3 linked regions of the Daphnia pulex genome follow. The protein of the gene in region 2 purifies or fractionates together with the protein of the main gene of each other region. This does not show direct contact. Links are inferred from orthologs where the notes say so. Each region holds a gene or a part of one and is shown on either strand. Other genes may lie near its edges.

Region 1 (9,855 bases), on a different chromosome or scaffold from region 2:
ATTTGTTTTTCTTTGTAAAATTCATTTTGCAATGGAACTTCAGTAGTAAACTAGGTTGGGAGAAGGAATTATTCTCTACTCATTTAGTCGTCCGCTATCGATCCAGCTGACGTCTATCTCATCTATATCTCATTTCGGGATCGGTGGAAAAGGGAATTACAGCTGAAAAAAGAAACGCGATAGAGATAATAATTCACGAAAACTTTTTCTTTCACGTCAGAGACAAATGAAACGCCTTTCTATGAACTATCCAACATTGGAAAGTAAAAGTGACACGAACAGGTGATTTTCATTCTTGATTGCCCCCGATCTAAACCAATAATCTATTTAGGTATCTTATAGGTCACGAATAAATAACACAATAGCGAGCGAATTTTCTCTATTATATTATTTCTATTATAAATGGCTGGCACACAAGACAATGCATCCGAGTGTATATTATCTGTCCTGTATCACGAGACCAGTTTTCCGCTATTCTGGCCGAATCCTGAAAACGGCAGTCGATTGCTGTTGGAATCTAATTAATCTTTTGTGTAATACCACGAATAATAAAAACGCGATGAGTGCCGTATATACTGTCTCGCCGCGTAACAGCCGACTGATTTTACGGGGCAGGTGCAACTATACACCAGTGGCAATGCAGCAGGGCCGGTGAAGGTGACCCGTCTTGCATGGCTGAAGGCCATCAAAAGGCAACTACACTGTTTTCCCCTTTCCCCCTCGCAGTCTTCCTCTGTAACTTTGACTCTCTATTCTCCCCAACTTGGGCATTACTCTTTATTGGCATTAGCTAGTTAGTTTAAGATTAGCTGGTTAGGAGAGGTTCGGCCAAATCATGCATAATCCATGCCACGGAAAAAGAAACTCGTGTACTTCCCAGCGTTGACATTCGTCTCACGATGACTCGGCAACTACTACTGTGGGAATTAGCAGGGACAAAATGACATTCCGGATATAATAATAATATAATTATTACTCACTTCATCGTGATGCCGAAATCTCCACAGATTGTGACATCCTAATAAACTACTCAGTATATATACACATGAATTATAGTTGAAGTCATTTCTGGCCTTTAATCCTTGTTGACGACAAAAGGTTTCACCATGCATTTCGTGAAAGTTCTTTTCGGGGATATCCCGACCAAATATTTCTAAAACAACACAATGAGTTGGCCATATCTCAACTGAACAACAAACTACAGCCAAGCGGATCACTTGCGAAAAGTATATAGCTCTGCCAATATGAGGCGAAATCGCGCAATCAAAATGGCAACTTTCAATTCTCTTGTTTTTATTAGCGCGGTTAGTCTATTTGAAAAATCGGCAAAGCCCAGCAGCTCTGTAAAGACCGATTAAAGAAAACAAGAATAGAAAGAAAATCCCCGGGCTCCTTGAGTTGTATAGTAATCGCTCTCTATAGTTAGTCTGAATTGATTTTTTTGTGACGCGACTGGAACCCCATGACGGACAGTCGGAAGACAATTAATTGCTGTAGTTTCACTTTCACCCATTGCCCGGGGCTCTCTCTGTGTTTTCATTTTCCATTACAAGAAATGAGAGAATGCGGCTGAATGCCTTGAATGACGAGGAAACTACTCTTGCGTAGCCAACTTGTGTTTGAAAGTCCATTGTGTCGACCACGACCAGGAGAAAATGACAATGTGATGAATGTCAAAACAATAACAAAGAAATAGTCCCTAAAATGACGACTGGTTCTCGACAGTACTCCCGCGGTACTTGTTCTCGCAACCTGTTGCGAACGCGAAAGCAAAAAAAAAAAAAGCTGAAGGGAAGTCGTCTTTATATAGAAACCTTATCGCGTCCAGCAAGGAAATGGGCGAACAATTGGCGATCAGTTTATATCGCGCCAGCTAATCAGGACGCCGAGTTCGTTTTTAGATTTCTTTTTTGGCACTTTTCTCGGAAAATCTTCAATTTTTAGAACCATCAATAAGGTGAAAACTTACCTAATCGCAACATGCTGTATTCCTAGACGGATACAAAAGGGGGGGGGGAACACCTCTCCGTGAGCGAAAAAAGAAGAGACAATATTCCGTGCGGAAATGCGCTTGTACAACACTCATAGGTAGGAGGACAAAAGTTTGGACTCGGCCATTTCAGCCGAGTGGATCTCGACGACTGGACAATTATCGAACTCAATAGCGAAAAACTCGATGAAACAAGACTTGTTTTTCGTTCAAGGTATCACCAGCCCATCATGCATGCACAGACAGCCGCAACAGTCAAGCTCGACGGACGCTAATGTTTTGCGAATGACCACATAAAAAACGACCCTGTACTGGCACTCGATTCCCCCAATGTCAAGCCTCGACACTTCACACGCCAACAGGTAGGATACAATCCACTAAAACAATTTGATCGCGGATCGTCGCTCGTTTGGAAACGAAGTCCAATAAAACACTGGCCTGTATACATACCGAACGTCGACTGCTTTGATGAGATGATGTTTCTCTTATCAGGACTGGTGGCGGTCTCACAATCTGTCGGGCCAGGTGGTGCCGGAAACCAGGGCGAACAGCAGCAGCTAAACAAACCCATGAGGGTTCAATGCATAGGTGCTACTTTAGCAAGACACTGTCGTCAGGAGCAGGTGAGCTGATGTCCTACTAAAAAACAGAACAACAAAAATCAACCCATTCGGTCTTCCCATGGTCCCTTCCGCTAAGTCCGTACTCTATCCAGGTGAAGAACTGACTGGCGAGAAAGAGAAATTTTGATGGTTTTTCGACGTCGTCGTCGCGTTTTCACTTTTTTGTTTCGTCGTGAATATTGCGCTGGCGTATTTCCATCGTGTTGAGCTGCATTACGTTCGTTTTTTTTCTGTTTCTTTATTTTAATGGTCCTCAACTGTTGGATCATGCTGGGATGCTCAACGGAATCAAGGACGTGCGCTACAAATGAAGGGGAAAAAAGTGCCAGTTTGGTCCGGTTCGATTGTATTACAACAGTTGTTATTCGCGTATTTCTTCAGAGTCACATAGCGAAAAGCTTACCGTATGATATAACGTGACAAACGATCTATATACGTATATATACATTAGATTGCTCTTTGTAGAGTCAGACCAACAGAACAGAAGTGAAAGTTTTTTCGTGAGATGTATCTAAAATTCAATCGTGTCATTGGAGCTCTGCTATGCGCGTCGTCACGTTTCTCTGCCGAACCTTGGAGTCTTAGATCATCACACTGTCTAGTACATAGGAGATCAAGTCACGGTCATCTCACAGAAATTATCATCAGCAATCTAATAAAAATACAAACAAGTTACGACAAAATCCCGCTGTGCAATGCACGAAAGCGAAGTTAACAGAAGGTTACGTAACAAATGTCGATTATATATACGGCATCACTTCGTTAACTAGTTGATACCATTTATTTATTAACTGTGTCTTGAAAGCTGAAAATACTTCACTTCATTGGCCATGAAGTTCAGATCCCTAATTGGTTCTAGACTTCTTCGGAAACGGCTTCCGTCGCAAATTTGCATTCGGCTATTTGAATTATTGATCCAGTTTAATGAGGCATAAATTTTTGAAAGTCTTTCAAAGTAAAGACGGACCCTGCGCTCCATGCGATAAATACAAAATATGAATGGAGCAGCATAGTACATTAAGAATGGAACAAATTTAACAAACATTTGTTTTTTTATATAATGAAAGAAAGTTGTTTAAACAAATGCCATTAAAAAACGATGACCAATTCTTCGGCTCTTCTCAGGCGTTACTTGGCATTAATTATTTCCTCGTCGTCCCTTTTCTTAGCTGTCGGTCACTTTATTCGGCTGCCAAGAAATGACTTTTATCTCTGAAAGGAAAGCGTAAGAGTAGCTAGTCACCACCGAGTTCTGTTCTGTCATACAGCACCACATAAATTAGTAAAAAACCACTAAGTGTACTGGTGTGGCTTTTGAAAATGGGTCGCTCGTATTGTCGTTAGTAATTCATAACAATCTATCAAAAGTGGTAAAAGGACTGTGTTTAGTTACCCGAAGGGTTACTGGTCAAAGTTTCGTTTGCAGTATGGTTTACATGGGCACCCTCAGTTCTCGTAACACTACATAGATGGATGCACTAGTTTTTGGCAATTATTGATTGTAATCAACAATTTTATTGCATTTCAATGGCAGTAATCGGTAGCTTACAATTTTTTACATCTATTCTGAAAATTTGGCTGCAATCGATTCAGGCATTTGATCAAACGGAGTTCTGGTTACTTTTTGACAGAATTTCAATAGCTGTTACAGCAGACGATAATACAGAGACATGTGACAGGGATATAAACGTAACGTGACAATCGACTACTATTGTATGATAGAATAGAAGTCACTGTATGTTATCACCGAACGCTATCAATCTCCAGTAACAGAAGTGCTGATAGGTAGTTACTTAAATTTAATTTTAACAAGATCCGGTGTGACGTGGGGTGGTGGGGCGAAGCCTCCGCCGCACCAAAGTCACGCCTTACCCCTACGCCGCGCCATATCATATTAGGTTTTTTTGGAATTTAATTTTTATTTAATGTTTGGATAGAAACATGCGGAAATATTCTTTTAATCTCTTTCTCGATTTTTGCTTATTACAATCTTCCGGAAACTAAGGGCATAAATTTTTTTTAAATGTTATTAATCCATCTTAATAATAGGCCTACCTTTATAACGGAATATTTTTATTATTCTATAACTATTCTATAACTCTGTCTTTGTAAAACTATACCAATACTACTATACCAACTAGAATACCCTTAACATTCCCTTCGGGTACCTTGCGGCGTACGTACGCTGCCTACAGTTTTTGTTCCACAATTAACTATTTTTCGTTCCGTGTAAACGCCATCTCTGTACGATATCCAAAGTTCGTGTAATAATTCGTTGAAAAATGAAATTATATCACCAAATATGATTGTGAATGTTTTTCGGCTAACCGTATTCGATTTTTTTTTACTCCACTCCACCACAATAACAGATAAATATCAAAATTTACGCCAAATTTGCAATTAAAATAAAACATTTTAAATCTGGCAATCACTTTTCACTGCTCTGTGTTGAGCAGACGAATGTACAGGTTTTAGAAGCGTGAAGGATTGTGGTCTTGTACTTGCATGGTACTTGTTTGACATTTTTTGTGAAGTCCGTTGATTTATTCAGTTAACTACGATTAGATCTATTTACACTATCGGAAAATGGTACGTGAAGATTCTTTTAGTCACATTAATAACTTTTTGAAAATAATACCATGATAACATTTCGTTTTGACATCTCTTTTTGACAGCCCAAAACAAAGAAATTTATAGACAAGAAAAATGCAGTCACCTTCAACTTGGTACATCGAAGTCAAAAGGATCCTCTTGCCGCTGACGAGCAGGCTCCTCAAAGAGTTCTAGTTCCAATTGCTCTGAAACCAGAAAAAAGTACTGAAATCCCTGCATCCTCTAAACCAAAGGTATGAATAAATCAAAATAAACAAATCAAAATTAAAGGGAAGTGTGATTTATAAAAGGTTTTAATATTCAGGATCCTGCCCAACAGAAAGAAGAACTAGCTAAACTTGGAATATACTTTGATGATGATTATAATTACCTGCAGCACTTGCGTGATGTTAAACAAACTGCTGAATGGGAACTGGCAGAAGATTCTAAAAATTCAAGAGTCTGGAAAGCACCAGTTGCCAGAGGACTTTCAGTAAGGATCTATAGGATTGGCTGTATGATAGAACTATTAGTTGACATTTTTTTTTCTATTTGTGGTTAGGACCATCCCTACAAACTTGCCCTGCCCTCCTCAGTTTTCCAATCAAAAGTGGAAGAAAAAGTTGGACTACTAAATAGAGCTGCTCCCCACTCAGGTTTTCATTTCTTTAAGCCTTGAATTTAATGTCAAAATTTGAGAAAGGATTTAAAAGTTACTGAAAATTGTAGGACCGAGGCCGGACTTGGACCCAGACATAGTTGCAGCTTTGGACGACGACTTTAATTTCGATGATCCTGATAATGAACTAGAAGATGACTTTATTGCATTTGCTAATGGAGTACCTTCTGACGTTGAAACAGAGTATGTTCTCGAGACAATTGAATTGAATTTGGATTTGCTTATATTCATTTTATAATTATGATTAATAGCGAAGATGATGGCTCCAGTGGTGACGATGAAGAAGAAAACGACGACGTATTGTGTGACATGCGAAGCGACTCAGGACAACGTTCACCCGATTTCAATGACGATAACAAATCGCATTTTACTGAATATTCGATGACCAGTTCAGTTATCAGAAGAAATGCCCAGCTCTCGTTACTAGACGACAGATTTGAACATGTATTCTGATTTGACCACTTTCATTTGATTCAAAGATTACAGTATTTATGGATTTTTATTTGTAGATGATGGCTCAGTATGACGACGAAGAAATGGGCGCTTTAGATTGCGAAGAGATCGAAGGACACATCACCTTACAAGACGATGAAGTGTTGAAATTGGCTGCGGCCTATGAACATGACAAGACAGAAGGCATCAGATTGGGTCGTGAAATTGGCAAAGTAGTAAGTTGCAGTTATCTTTTATTTATTCTCAGGTTGTGAATATCGACGTCATTCTTGTGAATCGAATTTTAGGCAAGAGACGAGGTGGAAGGAGCTGTAGAAAGGTACTTGGAAAAGTACCAGAGCGACGAAGAAAATGACAGCAGTTCAAGTGAAGAAGGTGAACAGGAACGTAAATGGGATTGCGAGTCTATCCTGTCAACTTACTCTAACATTTACAATCATCCTAAACTCATTTCTGAACCACAGAGTTCCAGAATTATTAAAGGTTCCAAGAAATTTAACTTTGGTGTCCATAAAGCTCAAATCTAATTAAAAAATTTCGTTTGATTCGTAGTGTGTCCCAAAACAGGTGTTCCCCTTAATGTCCTGGGGAAACCCGGTCTGACCAAAAAGTTCTTAGATCAACTCGATCAACAAACTGAAGGGACCAAAAAGAACTGTGTCGAAACGCAGTCCATCATCAGCACATTATCGACTATATCCATTCGACCAAAAGATGAAACACCAGAGCAGAGAACCGAAAGGAAGCGACTTGTAAAAGAATATCGTCAAGTAATAAGCGACAAATGTTTCGTGTGTCAGTTTTCACTATTAATGTTTGAATTTTATATTTTCTTAACAGGAAAGAAGAAAGGAAAAGAAAGCCAACTCGTTAGCTTTCAAAGAAGAAAAGAAACTACAAGAAAAACAACATATAAACAACCGTAAAAATGTTAGTGGCATTAAATTGTTGTAGTGGTTTTTTCAAACTTCGAATACATCGCCAGATGTACATTCACCACGACGCATTTGTTCGGAGGTTTTGGAATTATTTGTAAACGGTTCAATACATCAGCACACACGTAACGCATTTGTATTCCACTTGCTCGACCAAACGTGCTAGCGACATACAAAATAGGAGGAATGACATATTACCAGCCGTTCAGAATGTTGTTAGTAAAGTGTGTGGTGGTGTGGTGATGGTTTTAAGGAAGGTAAAGGTTTGGAAACATCGAGCGACGACGCTGAAGAGTGGAATGGTTGACAGGTAATAGCATACTAAACGTGACTAGCACAACGCAATCCAATTCTATAAGTAATCTGAACAGCCAGATAAATGACATGTATCAACGACATCCTTAAAATATTCAAGGGATTCGAGTAAATCGAAATATTAAAAAAATTTAACTAAACGTTTAGCCATTACCCGCAACTGCCCCCATTAAACATTTGTTTTTCTAGTAAAGAGTTGAGACAGCGGTTTCTCTACTCCCCACATAGGGTAATTGACGAAGCTTCATTGAACCATCAGAGCCACAAGAAAAGAGTCGTCCTGACGTGTCCAGATGAATCTGTTAAAAATTGAACAGCTATTCAGTAATTCCCACACATTTACAAAAATGTAAGGACATACTTGATTTACGCCATTTCCTTGCCCCATGGAACGGAAAAAGGATGATCGTGAATGTTCAGCAGGAAACGCGTAAAGTAAATGTTGTGTAGCAAGGCTCCAGACCTTTCAGTGAATACAAATCATTACAACTTCCATATTGGTTGATAAGAACCTTATATACCTTGATATCACCGTCAGCAGATCCAGTGGCAAAGAATTCTTCATTGGGATCTAACGCCATGCATTTGATCGCAACAGAAGAATCATGCGCAGTGAACTTGTGACGAAGTGTTCGTTGTCTCAAATCCCATAAGCAGACGATTCCTTTGCGGCCAGCCGATATCAGGAGCTGATGCTGAGACGCATAGAGCAAACTGGTGCCTCCGTTTTCGTGACATACAAATGCTGCAGGGAAAATCATCAGAAGAGTCGTTAGCGATATTCAAACCTTACTGACGTTAAAAGGAACCAACTTACAGTGAATAATTGCTTTGCGTTGGGGCATTAGGGTGTCCCATAAAACGACGTTGCGGGACTCTGAACTGTGACCGGTTGTGGCCAAAATACTCGATGACCCCAGAAACACAAAATCTGATGTCCCCTTGCTGTGACATTGATGTGACTGTTAAATGGTTTAAAAAAATTAATTAATTGCCGCAATCGATCACAGTCTACCCAAACTTACACAAAGGAAGTAACGGATGGGCCGTCATCCTTCTTACTCCATCCACCTTATGTTTCCGTAACTAGAAAAAAACAATAGATTGTTAACATTAATAAAAAGTCAGACTTGACTTCTATCAAGCCAAAGTCATTATTTAAACCACTGCAGATGAGAGAAAACGCCATTAAATTAGCATAACATTGATTTTTGGTAGAGGCACAGTGGCACACACAGTAGTAAAAAACAAGAAGATGAGACAAAGCAGAAAGAAACGCTAGCTGTTACCGGTGTTAGTAGTAGTTTGCTTCGCCGCAGCACCAGCTGAAAAAATGGCGGATGTTGCGAACCAGGGAATGTCAACCCTTTCGGTTGCAAGGTGTGGGAGGAGGGAACAGAGTAACGAATTTGTGTAGGAAGGGATAGCGAAGGATAGCAAGGAGGAAGGATAGCGACAGATAATTTTAAAACGAAAAAGAGAAATAGTCAGATGTCCAAACACATTCAAGGAAATGGGATGCGTGTCCAGAGGACGAGTGAATAAAAAAGAGATAAAGAGGTGAGGAGCAGAAAAAGACGGAAGTAAAAGCATAGACTACGAAGTAAAGACGGCGATCGGATTAATAAGATTATGCATTAATTTGGTTGAACCGATCACTTTTTGATTATTTGGTTTGTGTTATTGGCAGTTATAATTTCTTCCCTATATATTCCCAGCTTTTTTTCTGCTCCTCTTTCGTGAGCATATCGAACGTCAGCAAGGAGGGTGAAAACCTGCGGCGGTTTTAAAAATCATATATAGGTTAGACATGGGACATGGGTTAGATGCACTTCAAAATATTTTTTGAGAAACAAGTACAGTTTGGCAATGCTGCGTGAAGTGCAATAGCAACTTTGACAGTTGGAGTACTTCACGTGTGAAGTGCAATAGGCGCGACCATTGTAGAAAGGTAGAAAGCATGCCAAAAGTCCGAAACCCTCATAGCTTGTTATAAACGTAAGGTATTATTACAGTATTTGACCATTCTTAGTTCAACATATCAGTTTATTTGGATTTGAAAATAGAAGAAAATGTTAAATCCGGTAAGACGTGAGCTGAAAGCAAGCGATTACCTAACGGAATTTGCACCTTTCCCGAACGCACGAGTTCGAAACGTTCTCAAGGATTTCTGTTTTGTAGGAAATATTAGCGACGTGGATGAAGTGACTAAGGTATTTGCTCGCAACTATTGTTGAATATTTGATATATTTATTTTTAAATATGACT
Region 2 (9,949 bases):
AACCTTATTGATGAACGGTTGGTCCAAGGTCGGGCGACGGGAGAGGATGGAAGCAGAACGACGATGGCCAAACAAAATGCTTTGACAGCTGTAAACAGCTCCGTAGTTTTCGTAATCCGTTGCGAAAACGACGTAGTCAGCCTTGCCTGCCAAACCTTGATTAAGAGTAACGTTCCAAAATTGACATTTCCTCTTTGCAATTCAACAGTAATTTATAAGAGAGAATCCTTACTCATAGGAAAACGCACACGCATAAAGCCTGGTCGGTTCAAATCGGGTACATCCTACCAGTGAAAAAAGAAAAATTAAAATAAGTAAATGGCTTAAAATGTTTCAAAACGTCAAACGTACTAGTGCTCCGGTGTAACGATAGTTGTTGTCTAGACCAATGGTATCCAGAGCGACATGATCGCGTGACTGTACAATTTTCAGCGAGTCGTCGGTTTTATTGCGAATAAAATCGTATGTCCAGCAAGACGAGGCAGTGGAAAATTTCTGGATGACGTACCAGCGTCCAAGAAACTAGGTCGTCAATTGATTCAAACATAACAAAAATTATTAGTCCTCTTGAAATTATGGATTGTTAAAAATGTCTTCCAACTTTACCTTTGACATGTCAAAATCATTGACTGGCTCAACTCGAGGACACGAGCCCAGGTAGTATGTATGGCTGTGAACGACGCCAGCAATACATACCATCAGTGCTGCGACAATCGATATTTTCCCAGCCATTTTCTCTTTATTCTGCAAGCTTTGTTTGGCCTTGAATACAAAATTTCAATCACGTTTTTTTTTTTTAAATATTCATAAAACACGTACTGTACGGAAAATGTCATTCCAATGGGGAAAAACAAATACTAACCTTCGGATTGAAGCGACAAGCGATGCGTTGTTGTCGAGTTCGAGAATCAAAAGCTACTGAACAAAAGAAGCTTTGTGTAGCTCGGTTTTAAAAAGCCTCGAAATGTCAGACTGACTACCGGAGTTCACTGTTCTGTTCTGCAACTGGTTTCTGGCTACTGCACCCATTGCCACAGGCCAGGCCTCTTTCTCTCTTCCTCCCCTTTTCGTAAACAAAATAATAACACTACGCACTGCAGCCAATCAGCAAGTCGGAATTTCTCTGGGTTGATAACAGAAATGAGGATATCCCGCCAGAGATTAATTTAGTAAGTTCACCCTCCTATTCCTTATTAAGCGACTTTCGTTGTGGCTTCGTCCAAATTTAATTTCAAAGAAACAATACTTCAATCAAATTAAAAACGGCCAGAACAAAACAAATTGTCTTTTGGCAGTGGACTGTGCGACATCTCGGAGGTCTTAGTATAAATGTTTTATTTGTCTCTCTCGCAAACATTTCGTAATAACTAATAAATGGGAAATTTTCTAAGTTTCCCGTGTATATTTGGAGAGTATGGAGACCCATATTTGGTGAGTCATCACGCCGATGGCTTTTTCACTCGTTCTGTTTGGTTTCACTTTACGTGGAATTACCCATAAAAAAAATGTCCGTGACGCATGTCGGCATGCGGAAAGTATGTCGGACGTGACTGTTTGATGTGAAAAATGCACAATGATCGAATTCAACGCATTGTAGTAAAACATTTAATGAATAAAAAGAACTGGATTTATTAATTCTTGCGCATTGGTTTTACACGACGAGTAACTAACATGCAGAATTCGAAAAGATTAACAGCGTCGTAAATTTTATTCCAGAAAATATATTTTCTACGGTGTACAAAAATTTGTGATATCACGTTGAAGGTTCGCGGGGTATCGAAGGATAATTAATTCACGCATGGCATATCTGAATCAAGCATACAATAACAAGGCGGCTCGTTGGGAGATTGCCCTTTCATGCAGTGATAACCTGTTCCGCAACTCGGTGAGCACGCTTCCGGTGGGCACAAAAATTTTGCTATTCAAATTGATAAGAATACAGTTAAGAAGAAAACAATGAACAAGTAGGAACTTGCCTGCAATTGGTGTATGTCGACAAAGGGATTTTTGACTGGTAGTCTCCACAGCAATGGCGCTGGCCATTGCAGTCCATATAGAAGTCGCCAAAAGCAAAATCATGCTTGTCATCACTGAGATCTTCATTTTGATCTGTAAGGTTTTCAAATAAAGATTGATAGAGAAAAGTGTGCTGCAAAGAGCCTTTATATGCATCGCAGATGCACACTAAAGTCGGTCGTTCTCGGTCGTTGACTCCGAAATATATAAAAAAAATATGCCAAAAAAATATTGTGTCTTAGCAAATATGCAGGTATTCATCTCTTTATGTGACCGATGTGACCGTTATTCTTGGATTTAAGGTAGGCTAAAGATGTGGTTGGTGTCGGTCTTTTCCTTAGCAAGTTTTGAGACAAGATATTTTTTTTTTCTAGCCAAGGGTGAAAGGCAGGCGCAAAAACATGTCGTAAACTGCCAAAGTTTCCATGGGGAGAAAGTGAATCCCTAAGGAATATTATTTTCAAGAATTTCAAATTTACCGATGTTAACTGACAGCTGTTAATCCCAATGGAATGGGGTGGGACACTAAGCTAAGGATTATTCTACATTTATAGCTCATTTTTAACTTATACCTGCAACCTGCATCTATCCAAATCGAAGGGATGACAACAAGACCACTTTTTCGTCTTTTCAAAGGGAAATCCATTTTTGTTAAATGTCAACGTCTAACTTTCGTAAGGTCGTCTGCTGCCGTACTCGGATCCTTCTCTTGCTGTCTTGCATATCGCGAGGAACAGGCAAAAGGACTCGTGTTTAAATCGCAAAATAAAATTCGTTTGATAAAATGTTGAAAGTAAGTTAAATAACATTGCATTTGTATATGGAATGGAAAATTAAATGCTGTAAAGTAAATATTAAAACAATTTTTTTTCAAATTATGTCAAGAACCCTATATAGTTTTGAGTTTCTGATGTGTATTTATATTACATGTCCGGTTTTCGTTATATGTTTCCCTTTATCGTCACAGAAGACAAATATGGATTTGGAGTAATTGAAACACTTGATTTTAATAGGGAGCTGTTGCCTTGGTGACTGGTGGAGCTTCTGGCTTGGGCCGGGCAACTGTTGAGGTATATCAGAACTGGTTTTCTTGTGAATTTACTATCCAGCCTTGATGTATAATTGTATCATTTGATAGAGAATTGTCCGACAAGGTGGAAGGGTAGTCTTATGTGATCTACCAACTTCTAAAGGACAACAAGTAGCTGCTGGCATGTCAGAAAATGTTATATTTGCCCCAACAGATGTAAAGATAATGTTTAAGAAGTAAAACATAATGTTCAACTAATAACATGTGATGTTCCTAATAGGTTTCTTCTGAGAAAGATGTAATGAATGCTCTTTCCATGTCAAAAGAAAAATTTGGAAAACTTGATGTTGCAGTAAACTGTGCAGGTAATTTTCATTAAATTTAAAAGAATTTCTGTTTGAATAAAAGTTTAATAGCTTGTTTATTTATTAAGGAATTGGAGTTGCTTTCAAAACATACAATTTTAACAAAAATCTTCCACACAAACTAGAAGACTTCATTAAAGTTTTGATGGTAAACACCGTGGGAACTTTCAATGTTATTCGCCTTTCGGCAGGATTAATGGGCGAAAATCAGCCCAACGAAGACGGTCAAAGAGGAGTGATAGTCAATACTGCATCTGTAGCTGCTTACGATGGTCAGATGGGTCAAGCCGCCTATTCTGCAAGCAAAGGAGCAATTGTTGGAATGACTCTACCGATTGCGAGAGATCTGTCGTCCCAGGTAATTTAATAAAACTAATTAACTGGAGGTGTAGAGATAAAATGGCTCAAGTTAAAACTGGTTACAATGTTAACTAATTATTATCATTTCTAGGGTATCAGGGTTTGTACCATTGCACCAGGATTGTTTAAAACTCCTTTGCTCGAGTCTTTACCTGAAAAAGTGCAGTCATATTTGGCAAAGACCGTACCATTTCCGCAACGTCTGGGTAAGCCAGATGAGTATGCAATGATGGTTGAATCAATTATACTCAACCCAATGATGAACGGAGAAGTGGTTCGTGTTGATGGCGCTATCCGCATGCAACCGTAAAAAAATCCAATCATTTAAAAACTAAACCAGAGTAAACAGTAATAAGTTATTGTTGTAATTTGCAATGTTCAATGGCTTATTCTTTAGTAAAGAGCTTTCGTGAGATAATACAAATCTTTATATTATTATTTTGTATTGAACGAACTTTTTTCGTGAATTGCTTCCAACTTTTGGAACTTTGTTGAGACATTTTTTTTTTATATGGTCACTTCAGTTTTCTAATTTAATTTAATGTTTAATCGGGTTTGGAGATATTCTACCAGAGAGGACGATTGGAGAAACGATACTTAACTGCTTGGGAATACAACTGTATAAATTAAAAATATGCAACCTGCTGCAGCGATAAAATTGATAAAAATCCTGACTTCTAAGGAGGGACAATAGCATTTACTGGTAGAGGAAAAATGGCGCCTCTGACTGGACAAAAAGATCACAAGATAATGAAAAGGGACTAAGGAACACTTAACGTGCGCTGGGCATGGCCGCTGACCCGCTGCGGCTGCCCGTTTGGACAGCGTGTCAGCTCAGCACCGCATGCGGACTTGCGGTACACGTAGTTACAACACAATATAGTAATATTATATGTATTACAATAACATGAATATATATATATTAAGTTATTAACATATAATATTATTCGCACGCGTTAATAACTTGCGGACTAACAAGATGTAGCATGTAGTAGCATGTAGTAGGGCAACTTCAAATTGTTCGTTTACGACTTTTGCAAGATTTAGCGTCGTCTGCACTGAAATATTGTGCCGTCCGCGAACTCCACGTGTGTAAAACGTCTATAGTACCAAGTGAACGGTTACATTTTCTTTTACTATATTAAGTAATTAACAGTAGTAAATAGTGGGATGGCAGGAGGTGAACAGGCTTCACATCGACCCGGTCTTCTAAAACAGCAAAATAAATCTCATAAAAATGGGAGACATCGCAGCAAAAGTGAAATTGACAAGAACAACAAAGGTAAGCAAATATTTGTATTTTATTTTACTGGCGTCATTTTCAAACTAACTTAGTGTGGTAATTCTAGGACGAGTTCATGTCAAATTAGCATCAAAAAGGAAAAATCAAGAACTAAAGCGGGATGAAAGAAGAAGGAAAGCAAATCAGATAAGGTCAAAGAAACGAGAAGATGTCCTGGCTAAAAAGAGGGCAATAGGTGGGAATGATTCAGCTCCTTTTCTGTCTGCAATAATCCCACTAGGAGAATCAGCAAACATTCAAAAGTTGTTGAAACAAATCAAAGAGTGTGATGCTGATGCAAAAGTGGAAATGACTGGCTCCAATGTAATAAACATCAAGTAAAGTGCCTATAGATATATATATACATATATTTGTATGTTGCTAATTTCTTTCTTGTTTTTCAGTGTGCCACGTTTTCGGCAGAACTTCAGTTTGATAGTGCCTCGTCCTGGAGATCTATATGCAGCACTAGATGCTTGCAAAGTTGTTGATAATGTTGTATTCATAATATCACCTCCTTCTGACACTGACAGCTGTATGTCTCATTCAACAAGTAATGAAGGGCCTTTGGGTTTTGACAGCAGTGGTGAAGAGTTGTTGTCTGCCATCATGGCACAGGGGCTTCCTTCTCCAATTTTTGTTGTTAATGACATTGAGACCATTTCATTGAAGAAACGAAATGATTACAAGAAGCTTCTTATGAAACAGCTGGATCAGATGGTGCCATTAGAGAAGCTTCAAGTGATTGAAAATGAAAGTGATGCTCTCAGACTGTTGCATCACATTGGGTCCCAGAAACAGCGACCTATCTATCAAAGAAATATGAGATGCCATTTTCTTTGTGAAGAAGTGAACTTCAAGCAAAATTCTGATGATCCTACAGTCGGAAGTTTGATTGTCGATGGATACGTACGCTACCAACCCTTAAACGTGAATGGATTAGTCCACATACCTGGATGGGGAGACTTTCAAATGGAGCGAATCGAAGTCAGGAGGGAACCCGGAGAATTTATTTTCCTGGAAGAGGCCAATCCCGCTCTTCAAGAATCACTGAAATCCGAAAATGATCCTGATCCTATGAACGGTGAGCAGACTTGGCCTTACCAAGAAGAAATGGAAGGCCAAACTATGGAAGCGGACAAAATTGAAGATGATGAAGAATCGGAAAAAAAGAAACGAGTACCAAAAGGAACATCAGAGTATCAAGCCGCTTGGATCAAAGACGAGGGCGATGATAAAAACGAAGAAAACGATGAAGAAGAAGAGGATGATAGTGACGATTGGGAAGATGATTACGAAGAAATGTCTGGAGATGATGGAAGTGAAGAATCACAAGAAGAAGCTGAAGAGGATGAAATGGAATCAGTAGACAACGAAGGTGGAGACACGGATGTGTACGATAAAAAAGTTAAATTTGCAGATGAAGAAGAAGAATTTAAAAAAATTAAGGGTATGTTTTTTTTTCTAAATTAACCATGATTCCATCAATTCCAACAAAAATGTGTTGACTTTACAGAAGCTCGTGAGGATGAACTTTTCCCTGACGAAGTGGATACGCCACGCGACACATTGGCTAAGGTACGCTTTCAAAAGTATCGTGGTTTGAAATCCTTTCGTACATCACCTTGGGATGCCAAAGAAAATCTACCCATGGATTATTCCAGAACTTTTCAGTTCCAAAATTTTCCGCGGACTCGAAAGCGAATCTTGAAAGAAGAACGAACTGGAGCAAAGGTATTGTGACTTTTATTTTTCTTATGCGGTTCAATTTGATAAAAACTTGAATGCTCTAAAATTACATTTTCTTAGCCCGGATGGTACGTGAGAGTTCACGTTAAGAACGTGCCCAGCCATTTACCAGCGAGTCTCCAATCCGGCTACCCATTGACATTAGTTGGCATGTTGCCTCACGAACAGAGAATGAGTGTGGTTAATCTTGTTCTTAAGAGGTTCAAAAATGCACGGGATCAGCAAGCGATTCCGTCAAAAGAGCGACTGATCTTTCATTGCGGTTATCGGCGGTATGCTGCTGCTCCCATTTTTAGTCAGCACACTGCAGCCAACAAGCATAAGGTAATGTTTATCTTTTATCTAATTTTTGTATGTACTGTTCATCAAGGAGTTTTCTTTGTTCAGTATGAGCGCTTCTTTCGGCCAGAATCAGTTGTAGTAGCAACTCTTTACGCGCCAATTATCTTTCCATCTGCCTCAGTCTTGGTATTTCGGGAAAAGAAGGACGGAACTCAAGTAATGATAGCGACTGGATCGGTTTTATCAGTAAATCCTGATCGCATTACAGTTAAACGTGCCGTTTTGAGTGGAGCACCATTTAAAGTTCACCGCAAATCTGCTGTCCTGCGTTTTATGTTCTTCAACCGTGAGGACATCGAATGGTTCAAACCAGTTGAATTAAGAACGAAATATGGTCGACGAGGTCACATCCGAGGTTTGCATAGATGATAACTTTCTTTTTACTATAGTTATAAACTTTTTAAATTTCAGAACCACTTGGAACGCACGGACACATGAAATGTGTATTTGATGGCCAAATCAAATCCCAGGACACAGTAATGATGAATCTTTATAAACGCGTGTTCCCTAAGTGGAGCTTCGATCCTAACGTAGCGTCTCCATCTCCTTTGTATAATCATGAAGTAGAAATGGAAGATGCTGCCAATCAATTAATGGTATAAATAAAATTTGATTGGACCTTGTCCATATTTTCTTCTGTTTTTCAATGTTGGTTAGTTTCTAAACCTTCTGTCTTATGATTAGTCTTATGATCGTTTAACACTTGTTTAAAGTTACTAATTGCTCGATAGGTTTCAAATGAGCCAATTTTGCTAGTTTTTGTTACATGCTTGAGAATTAATTTCACTTTAGGAAATACTCTGAGTGATGGGACAAAATCTAATTTTTCTCATCTACAAACAATTTTCTAAAACAATAATGGAAGCAATAATGGAAGTTTTTGCAGTTTGTGTCATATTCTGTAGTTTCTGCGCTATGCGCTACTACCGTTTATTAGAAACATGGATGATTTCGAAGTTATTGGCTCCATCTAGTGTATTGTAGAGGTTGCACGGAAAGGGTAAAAAGTAGCGACGGTCAGTCGACATTGAACGATCGGTTAGACCCAATGTAGCACAATTTAAAAGTCGGGATCAGTCTTGGATTTGCTGTATGCCGTTCAGCTTCTAGAATACACATGTGTATTCTGGGTTGAATCCGATGCACATGTCTATTGAGAAAGTTCAAAGGCATACAGCAAATCCAAGACTGATCCCGACTGTTAAGTTGCATCCATTTATAGTCACTGCCCGAGTCTAACTGATCCCTATTGTGGCGCGTCGTCACCAGGAAAAGTAGAAACAGTCATCTGACCGTCGCTGCTCTTTACCCTTCCCGGATGGTGTCCGGTCGCTGTTTCCGCTACAATACCATTAAAGCGCTAGTCTGAGTCCTTTGGCAATTTCCTAATTAGTTTCTTGTATACTAGCTATATGCTAGGTGTAATAAGAATTTCGTTTTTTAAATGGTCACAAGGATTCTTTGTCATATACTGTAAGAGAAAATTCATTCCGCATCAGGTGGTTGAGTTGCATAAATTGGAAACACCCCTTTACTTTCCCCGAAAGTACGTCTACTCGTTGTCTCGTTGATTGCCTGATGCTCTCAAAATAAAAAAACACTAACTATTAAACATTTATTTCAAGCAATCTGAATTTTGAGCTGTTATGATTTTGTCTGTGTCGGGTTGGTTCGAATATTTGAAAGAAGAGAATGAGGGAAAAGAAAACTAGAGAAAGATGTAAGGCTAAGACGGCAGGTATCATGAAAAAAAAGAGGAAGATAATCATATTGGCCTCAAACAGTAACAGAATACCCTAAATTTTGACATTTTATTTTTAAATTAAATACAGATTTAAACACATTTAAAAAAGAAGATCAGTTCTAGAAGACAACTCACGCGCGCAGAAAGGGATGGAATTAGATACGTAGATGGGTAGACATTTTGGCACGTTGAACAATTAAAAATGTGGTTCAAGAATCATAAAAAAATTTAATAAATAAATAAAGCAAGCTCCTCCACAGAGAAAATGAAAGAAGGAAGTTGGACAAATTTTTATGATTGAAACTGTTATTTAGTAGTGGTTAAAAAAACTTTCCTATAATAACATCTTTGATAACATCGCTGAATTAATTCAATTGAAATATCGTACGTGCGTATTGCACCTTTCAATGCAAAATTAGTTTGTCGATTGTTTTAATCATTTTTGAACCAGATTTTCTAGATCTATTTTCATTTGTTGATTTTATATATTTCTTAAATTGTGTTGTCTGTTTCGCTATAAAATGCTTATCTCGTCTAACTCAGGTTCATTGGTACTCTGCTCTTCCGACGCAGAGGATGCGACGAGTGTTTGAGAAGTCATTGCGGAAATTCGCCTATTGGTTAATTGTTCAGTTGAGACGGAATGGCCTCCATCGGTATTGCCTGGAGAATGCTGGAGAGCTACATTAGTCGGAGAATCTCTCTTGAAAATTCTCTTAAGGCGAAGCATCAAATAGTGACGAACATCTCGTTGTAAAACAATAAAAATGATAAAAATGACGATTCCTCGCAATGCGTTGAGCAAATTGCCGATTTCGAAGAAGTATCTTCCTACGGAGTTGCTTTGAAAGATGGCTTGAGATTCGGATAGATACACAGGCAGCCAAGCAGCAAGTTCAAACACCCATGGGACTCCGGTGATAAAAAAGAGTTTCAACGCCATTTTAAAACTGTTTCAAAGAAAATCAAATTTCATCAACATAATTAAAATATAATTCATTTAATAGCACGATCATTATTTCTTACTCTTCCTGCTCCTTTGAAACTTTTTTGTTGCTCCT
Region 3 (10,122 bases), about 6.8 Mb from region 2:
GTCACCTAAGCGCGACGTGCATCTCCGACGAAAGCCTGAATGACATTTCACCACTCTAAAACTCGATCGACCTGATTTTTGTTTGTTTCAAAATTCTTCTCTCTCTTTCTTTTTTAAATGTCAAATTATTTCACGTGCGATTTCGTCGATTAAAATAAACCACAACAAAAAAACCGAATTTGAATTGGAGAAATTTGATTTGATATATTTACCATTTCATCATCGGGGCGGGAAACAACGCAATTATTGATTGGCCTTGTTGGCTTTACCCCGGATCTTGCTACCTACCGAGGCTCCTTTGCGCGCCGCCTTCACCAGTCCCTTAAATTGACCACTCATCTTCGCCTTTTTCCTTTTATTGAGAGCATTGCGGCTCAGCGGAACGTAAGCGAACGGATCAGGTTGGCCCTTGCGCTTCACATCACCACGTGCCTTTTCGCTACGGTATTCGACTCCGTAATCGGCCGGTTTCACCTTCTCTTGACTCTGCTGGGCTCTCTGCTTGGTCGTCAATTTGTGGACGGTTCGCTTGGCTGATGATGGCTTGACGGCCACCGCAACCGGTCGATGGATACCCGATCCACCCGCTTGGTACTTGAACGAAGGTTCGTCTTCTTCGTCGACCATGGATTCGTGGTCGTCGATTTTACGTTTGCGGTCCACCTCCATCTTGTCCAGCGCTTTGCTCAAGTCGACGTCCGATTCCTGAGAGGAATCGGATGAGTCGCCACCATCATCGATAATCATTCGACCGTCGGGGGCTGTTTTGAAGATGCTCTCCTTCTTCTTCTTCTTCTCGGCCGTCAATTGCGCCAGCATGGCGCGCGCAGGATTAGTCGATGACACTTTTTTGGCTGCAGCTGGATCCAAAAAGTCGACAATGGATCCTTCGTCCTCTTGAATCCACGTCTTGGGCGTCTTCTTCCGCACGTCCTTGTCTTCTTCATCATTCTCCAGTTCGCTGTCACTGTCGGCCAAAACGTGTTCCATCGTCTTGGGTTGCGTCGCCATTTCCGTCTCGTCTTCATCGTCTTCCTCCTCCTCATTTCCGGCCGCTTTGCGCTCTTCCTTTTGCTTCTTCTTCCGCGCTTCGATTTTGCGGATGTTATTCAACCGCTTGAGGAGGACAGTGTCATCCTCGGGGACGAGTTTCATGACCAAATCGGCTCCACATTTACGGATCAGCCGGATGAAAATATCGCGCGTCTTGATGAGGTAAGTCCGTTTGAGTTCCTCGTCCATCGAGCTGAGGCCGGTGATGAGCCGCTTCAAGTAGAGAGGCAGTCGCTGCGAGTGGACGGTGACGGTGAACATGCGGATGAAAACGAGACAGGCCAGGACGACATCTCGATTTCCAGTCACCAACAAGGTGCAGATGCTCTCCAGGACAGTGTCGATGAGCTCCTCTGTACAATTGGAAGCGAATTCGTGGACAACGTAGGTGACGGATGTGACAGCCGTGGCGATGTGAGCCTCGTCATCGCTGGACATTCCCTTCATTAGTTTAGTGACGTAGTCTCTGAGTGCCACTTGCGGATCAGAGGACCACTTTTGGAAAATGCGTCCGACATCGACGAGGAGCGCAAAAGCGGCGGCTTTGACCTTTTCGCCGACTCCTTTGACAGCTAATGCCGCCTCTGAAGCAGAAGCGACCAGGAAGCGACGGTTGGGTGCAGTTGACGGCTGCTCGGCCAATAAAGCGACCAAGCGAGACAAAGTGCGCAACCTCGAGGCCCGACTCGGTGCTTTGACGATATCTCTCGAGCTTGTAAATAATTTGACAATGCGGCTCAAACTGGCGCGGACGTGACGGCCACACGGACTGGCCTCATCGGCACCGACGATTTCCTCCACAATGCGATAGGCTTTCTTCTGGGGTTTCGACTCGCTGCCCATGATCCACGGTAGAACGAGCTGGACAAAACTCTCGACACGGTCCGGGTCCTGGTAAACCACCAAGGCTCGCAACAAGGCCAAAACAGACTCCCAGATGAATTGGTTCTCTTCCGCTACAGCCTTGTCCTCCTAATGGATAATAAATCATTTAGACATTTGGCTCAATAAAATTTGGTGTTATTTCATTTACCGATTTCAAACTGGCCGATGCTGTCGTCAATTTCTCCTTGGCTTTATCAAAGAGCGAGTGGAGCAGTTCTGTATCGGCCACTTGCAGGTAATAGGTCGTCGTCTGGAACACGGATTCGCGTTGAGACTCTTCCTCGTCGGTGGTCGATTTGGTGGTAAACAGGTTGAAGAGCAAAGGAATATAATTCTTGGCATAACGGGCCACCTCGACCCGAATCTTGTCGTCCGTCTTTGAATGAATAATCAGCTGACGAAGAGCGGCCATCACGTCCATTCGAATGTCTGGTCGATCAGCCAGGGCTTGGCCCAGCAATTTGGCAATCTGTTTGAAGGAAACTTCAACATCTGTCGGGCACTTGCAAAAACCCGGCAAAAGGGCCCACATTTGACGCTGGAGGAGGTCAAATATCCGAAAGCCAACCCGATCCTGATCTTCTTTACATTGAGGGACTCTTGCACGACACATCTGGGCCAGCGGCAAAAAGTATTCGATGAAGAATCCGAGTTCCGTGTTCTGAATGTTTTCACGCAAAATGGGCAGGAGCCAACTGTATGGGAATTCGTAGGAATTCTTTTCTTTGCCAGTGATGCCCAGCGGGATGCATTTCAAGAGGAATCGAGGGCCGCAAACACGAACTGCTTTGCCGATAGCGAAATCCGCTTCAGCTTCGTGCGGGAAACGTGGCGAAACGCGCAGACTGGCCAGCGATTTGATCAAACTTTTCAAAATTTCCGGACGGCTTTTGCCTACTCCTTCGATCAAGGTGGTGCACAAGTGGATGACGTACTTCCAGGCTTTGACCGTTTGATAATTCAAACTTTGCTCAACGCTTTTAGTGATTTTCTCGGCTGCCGATGTGACGGCGGCCATATTCGCCGGCTGATTGAATGCCGGTTCCAGACCCTGGCTGATGAGCGAGGCCAGCGATGGAGTGACAGATAAAACCACTTCCATCCTGTCGCTGGACCAGAGAACTGTGGCCACGCTGAAGAATCTTGGGAGATGACCGACGCAAAGGAGCGAGTCCAGTCGGCCGAGATTGAGAAGTGCTTGGGTCATGACACTCAGCCATCCGCGCAGGGGTTGCGTGTCGTTGGCAGAGGGTTGGTAGTCGTAGAGGGCAGTGATGAGACGAGCGTTCAGATCGGCAGACAACGTGATGGCCCTGGGTCGGCAAATAAACATGCTGTGGAAACACTGCATGGCGCAAGAGGAGATGAGAACGTTGTTGAGTGTCATGAGCTTCAGCAAGGATTCACACAAAGGTTTGACTTCGCTTTGGGGCAAGACGGCAACAATTTCTTTCAAGAGGTTCAACAGATGGAGTAGAGGCGATGGTTCGCTACCAAATCCGTGCTCTTCAATAAATGTCAAACAGAATTTGCCCGTCTGATGAATACAACAAATAAATACAAATTTGAAAATTACTTTAAACAATAAATCAAAACTACTAGTAGGGCCTATATTCATACCCGAGATGCAACAGGGTGCAATATGGGAGCGTCTTCATCTTGAGTCAAAAAGGTGCTGCCTTTCAGGATAGAGCTGTAAAAAAAGAACAATTAATTATGTACTAAAATATTTGACGCTATTTCAAATTACCAAATGGCGTGTTGTGCAGCTTTGCGAACCTGTGGCTTGGGGCTGGACACAAATGTCAGTAATGCGTCGTAAATTTGCAAGGTGGAAGAAGAGGACCAGGCTGAAACATCCTGGTTTCGAAGTAGAACACCAAGACAGCCGACCAGCGACCGAATCAGAAGGCTGTTGTCACTTTCAATGTATCGGCCCAGCAAGTCGAGTAGACATTTGGCTGACGTTGAGAACTTGACTTTGAGAACACTGGCGGGAACTCGTTTGATGACCATACCCAAAAGTGCAAGGGTAGCGCCAAGTGAATCTTCGCTAGTCTCGGCCACTTCCAGTGTCGTCATCAACACTGCAAAGTATTCCGTGTCAGTTTCTTTGCCTCCTTCCTGTTTGATGACTTCCGAAACAGCTGCAGGAAAGAACAAATTATAATTGGGCAAAACTAAAATCATATGCTAAATGGCATACCTGCAAGAACAGCCAACATTTCTCTATGAAGAGATGAGGTTGGCGTGAAACCTCTGTGTAGTTTATTGAAAGACACATTGCTACAGTTGGAGAACCCTGTGGCAAATGTCTTGACTGAGCTGCTGGATCGGAATGTCTTTCCAGAGATGACTGAGTATGTTTCGTCATCATCAAAATCTCCATGGGACACTGACGGGGGTGCAGTGATGACTTCAACAGCAGCAGAGGGATCATGGGGCTGTCAGGCACACAAAATTTTAATCAACATGACTTGAACAAATAAAACAAAAGATCAAAATTACCTTTGACGATTCAGATGCATAAGTGTGCTGCTTCAAAGCTTCTTCAGTCAAACCACTTTTCTGGGTAGAACCAGCCGGTGGCCCGAATAAAAATGGCTGGAAAAACCTCGTTTTCGCCACTTCGCGATGTTTCTTGATTGTGGGGTTGGAGCTGCTACTCTGTCCCTTTGCCCATCTTTTGCCTTTATTTCCAGGCCCCTTGATACGAGTTTTTAATTTGCCCATGGCGTGATGTATTCAGAAAAAGCACCGTCGTCAAATACACTACGTGCAATTTTATACTGGTTGACTCTGGCGAAACTTGCCAGTGATTTTGGTAATCAACTAGCACGTGTGTCGTCAACCAACTGAAAAAGAATCTGTCGTCTGCTAGACTCAGCGACGTTGGCAGTTTTCCATTTTTCCAAGAAGCCGTGCGCTTGGAAATGTTTTTAACAGCCGAGAGAAAAAGGGAAAAAAACAACAGATGTATTTCCTTTTTATTCTATAAATAATTTAAAAAAAAGCATCAAAGTAATTGGCACAATCAACGACCGATCGATGCGAATTGATCGGTTGGTATATCTATAACGGTCCAAAAAGTCTGTGTTGTTTGTCTTCTTGACGGGTTGTTCGCAAAAGTCTGCAATATAATGTGTGTAGCAGCCAGCCTACATAGTACCGCGGGTTACACGCAATCTCTTTCTATTAGACCTTTATTTTGTTCTCTCTTTGCCTTTGTTTCCCTGGGCGATCGATTCTCCTCATACTCATCTCTCTCTCTCGGTATTAAACTGTAATATCTATTCTTTAGAGTCTTGGACGTCTCCACAGTCTGCCCATGTAGTCTAACTTTTCTCTTTTATAGATAGATAGCCGCCGAAGCCACGCCGGATGTGATCACGACTGTCGGCATAGTGAGGAGGAGCTGATGTTATATATAATCAAGAGTTGGAAGACACAAATAGGCGGACTCTCTATCTACTGCATCATGTATATAGTCACCCGAAAGATGGATATAATATATATATAAAGGGCAGGAGGGTAATCAAGAATGTCCGGTGTGTCTCGGAATCAGCGGAAATGATCTTTCGACATTCGTGAACAACAACAATAAGACGGGCAGGGCGAAGGCCAGCGAGGTATACAACGGTCGTCTATAGCGAATGAATGGCCGGTTAATGATATATACACACAGATAAATATAGTTGACGTTGAATAGAAAAAAAGGTCCTTATTAATATTAGAGATGATGATGATGTTGAATTGATTTGCAGGTCAACTGTGAGAGACCAGCTAGTCTTTATAAGGCTTTAATACGAGGCTTGCACACAAGTTTGACTGGAAAAAGTCAACCCCCACTACTCACAGAAATCCTGTGAGACCAATCAGAGAGAAGGAAAAGAGGCTTTCTCCAAATTCTGTATATAGCTACACACGCTGGTCTTTATTATACGGCGGGATGGAAAGATGTAAGAGTTGGCATCACGAGGATGGATGGATGGATGGAAAAAAGAGTCGCCGAGAAAGAAGTTCATTAAGGCTCTTCCTGTCGTCCAATTTGAGATGACAATGTCTCAGCCGACACATAGTCAATAGAACGACAAAGTTGGTGGTGGTGGCCTAGGTACAAAGTATCACGCGGGTTAAAGCAGCAAAAGCGGTCGTGACTGGTTTTATTGAGTCATCATCAACTATACAACAAGCGTCGGATAAATAGACGAGTCAAACTTGTCTCCTATCTAATATAAATGAAGGCCTTTTGTAATTTAAACGATTCGCCCGAAGAAATACTTGAGAAAAGAATCGAGACGATGAAAATCCGCCCAGTCGAGTGCAAATAACATTTCTCGATTGGTTCGCAGTGTGGTCCCTAATGTGCAACAGCTGTTGAAAGAGACATGATGTGTGTTTGTCGTGTCTGTCTGTGACAGTCCGAGCGGTACACCGCAAAATGTGTGCCGTCAACTGTTTCCAACTGACGTGAGAGATCTGTTGGAGCATTGATCATTCGCTCCTTTTTTCTCTCTATTTCTTCTAGTGTACACACAAAGTCGTCGCCAATTGTATTGCGTGTTGAATGGGGAAATCGTCGCCTCCGCCGGATGAGAAGCAAACACTCGTGAGCGATGCGTCCGAGTTGAGGCAGTACGGATCCGCACCACCAATCCATTCGTTGGTAAGAGTTCAATTCCCATCCAGCGTTGTCTCTAATATTGATTCGGTATATGGCCGGAATTATTCGAGTGAAATTGGATCCAAGACAACAGGTCGAAATCGGATGCGCTCGGGCGAAAGCGACGCCAAGACGATCCAGCATCAAATGAGTGGAATGAACACGGTCCTAATAACTGCCGGCCAACCAATGAGCACCGACCGGAAGTCGTTGGCAGCCGCCACAGCATCGCGACACAAAGAAATGGAAGAGCCTCAAGACTTTGAATCGATCGTCAAAATCCGCTTGTTTCTCGCAACGGCAGCCCTTTGGCTCCTTTGGCTCCTAGTTTACGTCATCCTCTCCCACTGGCGCCTTATTTGAGACATAACATACCCCACGATCCGCACCACAAATTCCGGCGCCATTCACGCGCACATCCTTTCGGGCTCCGGATCAAAATCGAAATGTTTCTCTTATTTTTTGAAATTTTTGAAATTTTTGTATTTTGTCATGTGCGGAGAAATAATTTCTTTTTTAAGAATAAAAAGATGAAAGTGAAAAAGCGGGAAAAAATGTGGCAATAACCGACAGTAGAGACAAGAGCCAATGACTAGTCCAACACACCAATAAAAGAAGGAAATCAATTTTTGGCGGGAATTTCAAACAAGAAAAAGGAGATGATTAAAAAAGAAGTAGAAATTGATACGTGTACAACACACGACAAAGACAATATGATACGTCAAAAAAAGATTAATGATTTTATATTCTGGTAGTACTATAGCTTTTTCTTATCCAATTTTTCGGGGGGGTTGTGTTGCGCGTTCCGGATGTCGCCGTGAGTTATCGATCGAAAGTTCCCTCGTCGATACCACACGGCCGCCCATTTTTTTCTCTTCTTCCTTGTTTTCACGTGATATATATTTGTTATATCTGGTTGTGTGTTTGGTTTTTTTATTGTTGATTTTCCGTGACGGTGGGCGTTTCGTCCGAAATCGAATCCAAAGTTTCATCCATCTGAGAGATTGCGGATCATTCCGGGAAAAAGACAAAAGTATAGAGATAGAACATATGTTGAACATCAAGAAAATGATATTGCACTACTGCTGGGCGGAATAGAATTTGAGATTTAGGAGCCGAGAGTGAATGATAATACCTTTTCGTGATCGGGAGTGTCGGCTCGGCGGGCCGTTTCTTCCATGTTCAGCACCAAATCGGCCGTCGACTCGCTGACAGTGATGGGCTGCTGTTTGATGGCCAGCGCCCGTCTCTCCTTTGCCCGTTGCAAAATCAAATTGAGAGCTCCGCCGCCGTGCTGAATTTTGGTGGGCGACGTGGCAACCAGTCCCGTCGTCGTCCCATCCTTTTTTAATTTTTATTATCCCGCAGGCAATAATATGATTAATTAATTCATTAAGACTATTTAGAGCAAAGCATAGAGAGGAAATGAGCAGCTAATGAAATTCCAGCGTGGGCAATTAATTTAGGAAATGATGAAAACTTAATTCATTTCTTGTTAAAATTACCTCCAGCGATGGCGGATCCGTCATGGGAGTGGGCGGATTCCTTTCGGCTCTCTCCACGCTCTCCGTCTGGCTGATGCGGATCAGTGGGATTTTGGCCGGCGATCTAGGAGCGTCCGTCATTTTGTTAAGCGGCTCCTGCTGGTCCGGCTGATGACTGGCTAGTTGCTGGTCTACTCTCGGCGGACTGTTGATGTTGTTGTTCGGTTTCTTCTTCTTCTTGACCACGGAGGCATAGACTGGCTGGTGGTGAGGCGGACTGGCCGGCACTGCTGCTCCTGGCAAGGGCGGCTGATGATGACCAGCAGCGCGGCCGTTCAAGACGGGACTGTCGTGCGGCAACGAGTCGCTAATATCCAAATCGCTGGCACCGTCAAATTCAGTCGTGGTAGCAGCAGCGGTGACTCCTCGTGATCCTTTGACTGGTGGCAGTTGCTGGCCACGTCTGAGGCCAACTTGACGTCCCGTCGTCATCCCAACAGGAGCAGCAGTTCTCGGCTGGGCTCCTGCCGACGCTCCTGCCGACGCTCCTGCGCGTTGATGCAACAGCAGCCCATCTTTCATCCCTCCTCCTCCGCCTTTTAGTTTTCCAAGAAAATCAAAAGAAAAAGAAATTCATTAGCCGATCATAACGACAGTCCCGAAAGAAAAGAAATTCATTTTTCATCTTTTTGGTATAAATACAATTTCAAAGGAAAAGATTTTCCCGCTTTTATTCCCAGTGGTGGATTTTTAGAAACTGGGGACAAATTCCACCTACAAAAAAGGGCAAACGCAAAAGTGACTTTTCCCCATTTGATTTCCTGGGGAAAAAATATATAAGAGGCTTATAAAACTACATGTTCCCAGCAGTTCCTATTTCTCTGACAATCCGCCGTATATAGAATTTGCATTTTTAATATCAAGAAGAAGAAACAACCCAATCAGATTTACATTTACGTTTGTCGACGGCTTCTTTGGCCAGCGTTTGAGGAAGGATCGTCTGCGATTTGGTCGGTGCGAACGGAACAGCTTTGCGCCATTGGGCAATGACTTTGGCGGCCGCAGCGTCGGGAACAGCGGCCACCGATTCGGCCTCCTTTTTCTGGCGCGTTTTCAAACGTTCGGCGTCGCGTTCGCGTCGAAGTTGCGTCCGCAAATCGGTGACGGCCTCCCTCAGCGACGAGCTGAGCGACACCAAATAATAAATGACGAGAATGAGGAGAACGAGGAGCGGAATGACGACGCCGGGCGAGGCCACGTAACTGAGGACCCAGTGGAGACTGTCGGGCGTGGCTTTCAGCAAACTCTGCGTCATGACGTGAAAGATGCGCGAGTATTCGCTAAAGGGGCCGCAGTGCCACGACGGCTCCAGCCACACGATTGCGTAGGCCACCGGCAGCGTGCACAGGAACAGCATGATCAGCAGGAGCCACAGGTAAAAGTTGTTGGAGCGGGAAGCTTTGAAAATCACCTCGTGCGGCACGTTGCATGTGAGCACCGCCCACGAGCGGATGTAGAGCAACAGGAACAACTTGAAAATGTTGATGGCCGGCAATCCAGGCGAGAAAAACATGCCCATCCTGCGTGAATTTTAAATAAATGATTTGATTATAAATAATTTGAATAATTCAATTTTGGCGGGCTTTCTCACCAAACCATGCCCTGATTATTAACGAGATGCAAAATATTTTCAGCAATTTTAAATTCGCCGTATTGTGGGAAATATTTCTCCAAATCCCAGCACCAACATCCGTTGAAAACCCGGACGAAAATGGCCCGGATAAAGTCAATAATCAAAATCGATATCGTCGTGAAAATCTGTAAATTAAAAGACAAACATGTTGACGTTTCCAATTGAATTAAACCACCCAAAATATTAAAATAGAGAATTTGTTTTTAAATAAATCATGCCAGCATTAATATATATTGAATTAAAATTAATTTTGACTGCACTATACAAATGATATTTGGGTATTTAAAAATTTTGCACATGGATTAGATAGTGGGACAGATTAAATTGAATCATTTCTTGACTTG

The links. Proteins that work in one complex are often made in the same cells at the same time.
Region 1: the proteins of pre-rRNA-processing protein TSR1 homolog (region 2) and protein LTV1 homolog purify together in Homo sapiens (co-immunoprecipitation; 4 studies listed by BioGRID and IntAct, counting the BioPlex papers as one, with this or other methods). This does not show direct contact. The link is inferred for Daphnia pulex from reciprocal best matches to the Homo sapiens genes TSR1 and LTV1.
Region 3: the proteins of pre-rRNA-processing protein TSR1 homolog (region 2) and RRP12-like protein purify together in Homo sapiens (affinity purification with mass spectrometry; 3 studies listed by BioGRID and IntAct, counting the BioPlex papers as one, with this or other methods). This does not show direct contact. The link is inferred for Daphnia pulex from reciprocal best matches to the Homo sapiens genes TSR1 and RRP12.

What each region holds. Positions count from the first base shown.
Region 1 is NC_060017.1:1,276,614-1,286,468, forward strand, and holds protein LTV1 homolog, read left to right. Parts: upstream 1-5,045; 5' UTR 5,046-5,199; coding exon 5,200-5,202; intron 5,203-5,288; coding exon 5,289-5,459; intron 5,460-5,530; coding exon 5,531-5,698; intron 5,699-5,767; coding exon 5,768-5,861; intron 5,862-5,934; coding exon 5,935-6,067; intron 6,068-6,135; coding exon 6,136-6,328; intron 6,329-6,393; coding exon 6,394-6,552; intron 6,553-6,624; coding exon 6,625-6,820; intron 6,821-6,889; coding exon 6,890-7,107; intron 7,108-7,177; coding exon 7,178-7,291; 3' UTR 7,292-7,339; downstream 7,340-9,855. Other genes in the region: dmX-like protein 1, read right to left, coding at 7,773-7,886, 7,949-8,050, 8,109-8,332, 8,405-8,432; uncharacterized protein LOC124197216, read left to right, coding at 9,660-9,800. UniProt on the Homo sapiens protein: Essential for ribosome biogenesis.
Region 2 is NC_060018.1:6,275,683-6,285,631, reverse strand, and holds pre-rRNA-processing protein TSR1 homolog, read left to right. Parts: upstream 1-4,766; 5' UTR 4,767-4,941; coding exon 4,942-5,053; intron 5,054-5,120; coding exon 5,121-5,391; intron 5,392-5,457; coding exon 5,458-6,503; intron 6,504-6,569; coding exon 6,570-6,787; intron 6,788-6,862; coding exon 6,863-7,126; intron 7,127-7,189; coding exon 7,190-7,499; intron 7,500-7,555; coding exon 7,556-7,746; 3' UTR 7,747-7,767; downstream 7,768-9,949. Other genes in the region: apolipoprotein D-like, read right to left, coding at 4-155, 233-284, 352-522, 607-732; 3-hydroxyacyl-CoA dehydrogenase type-2-like, read left to right, coding at 2,801-2,809, 3,030-3,086, 3,155-3,262, 3,327-3,411, 3,480-3,769, 3,863-4,081; uncharacterized protein LOC124188662, read right to left, coding at 9,403-9,838, 9,915-9,949. UniProt on the Homo sapiens protein: Required during maturation of the 40S ribosomal subunit in the nucleolus.
Region 3 is NC_060018.1:13,077,384-13,087,505, reverse strand, and holds RRP12-like protein, read right to left. Parts: upstream 4,817-10,122; 5' UTR 4,672-4,816; coding exon 4,447-4,671; intron 4,383-4,446; coding exon 4,145-4,382; intron 4,086-4,144; coding exon 3,689-4,085; intron 3,632-3,688; coding exon 3,559-3,631; intron 3,476-3,558; coding exon 2,087-3,475; intron 2,026-2,086; coding exon 244-2,025; 3' UTR 179-243; downstream 1-178. Other genes in the region: solute carrier family 13 member 5-like, read left to right, coding at 1-59; uncharacterized protein LOC124202401, read right to left, coding at 10,108-10,122; transmembrane channel-like protein, read right to left, coding at 7,535-7,597, 7,737-7,943, 8,107-8,681, 9,043-9,665, 9,737-9,903.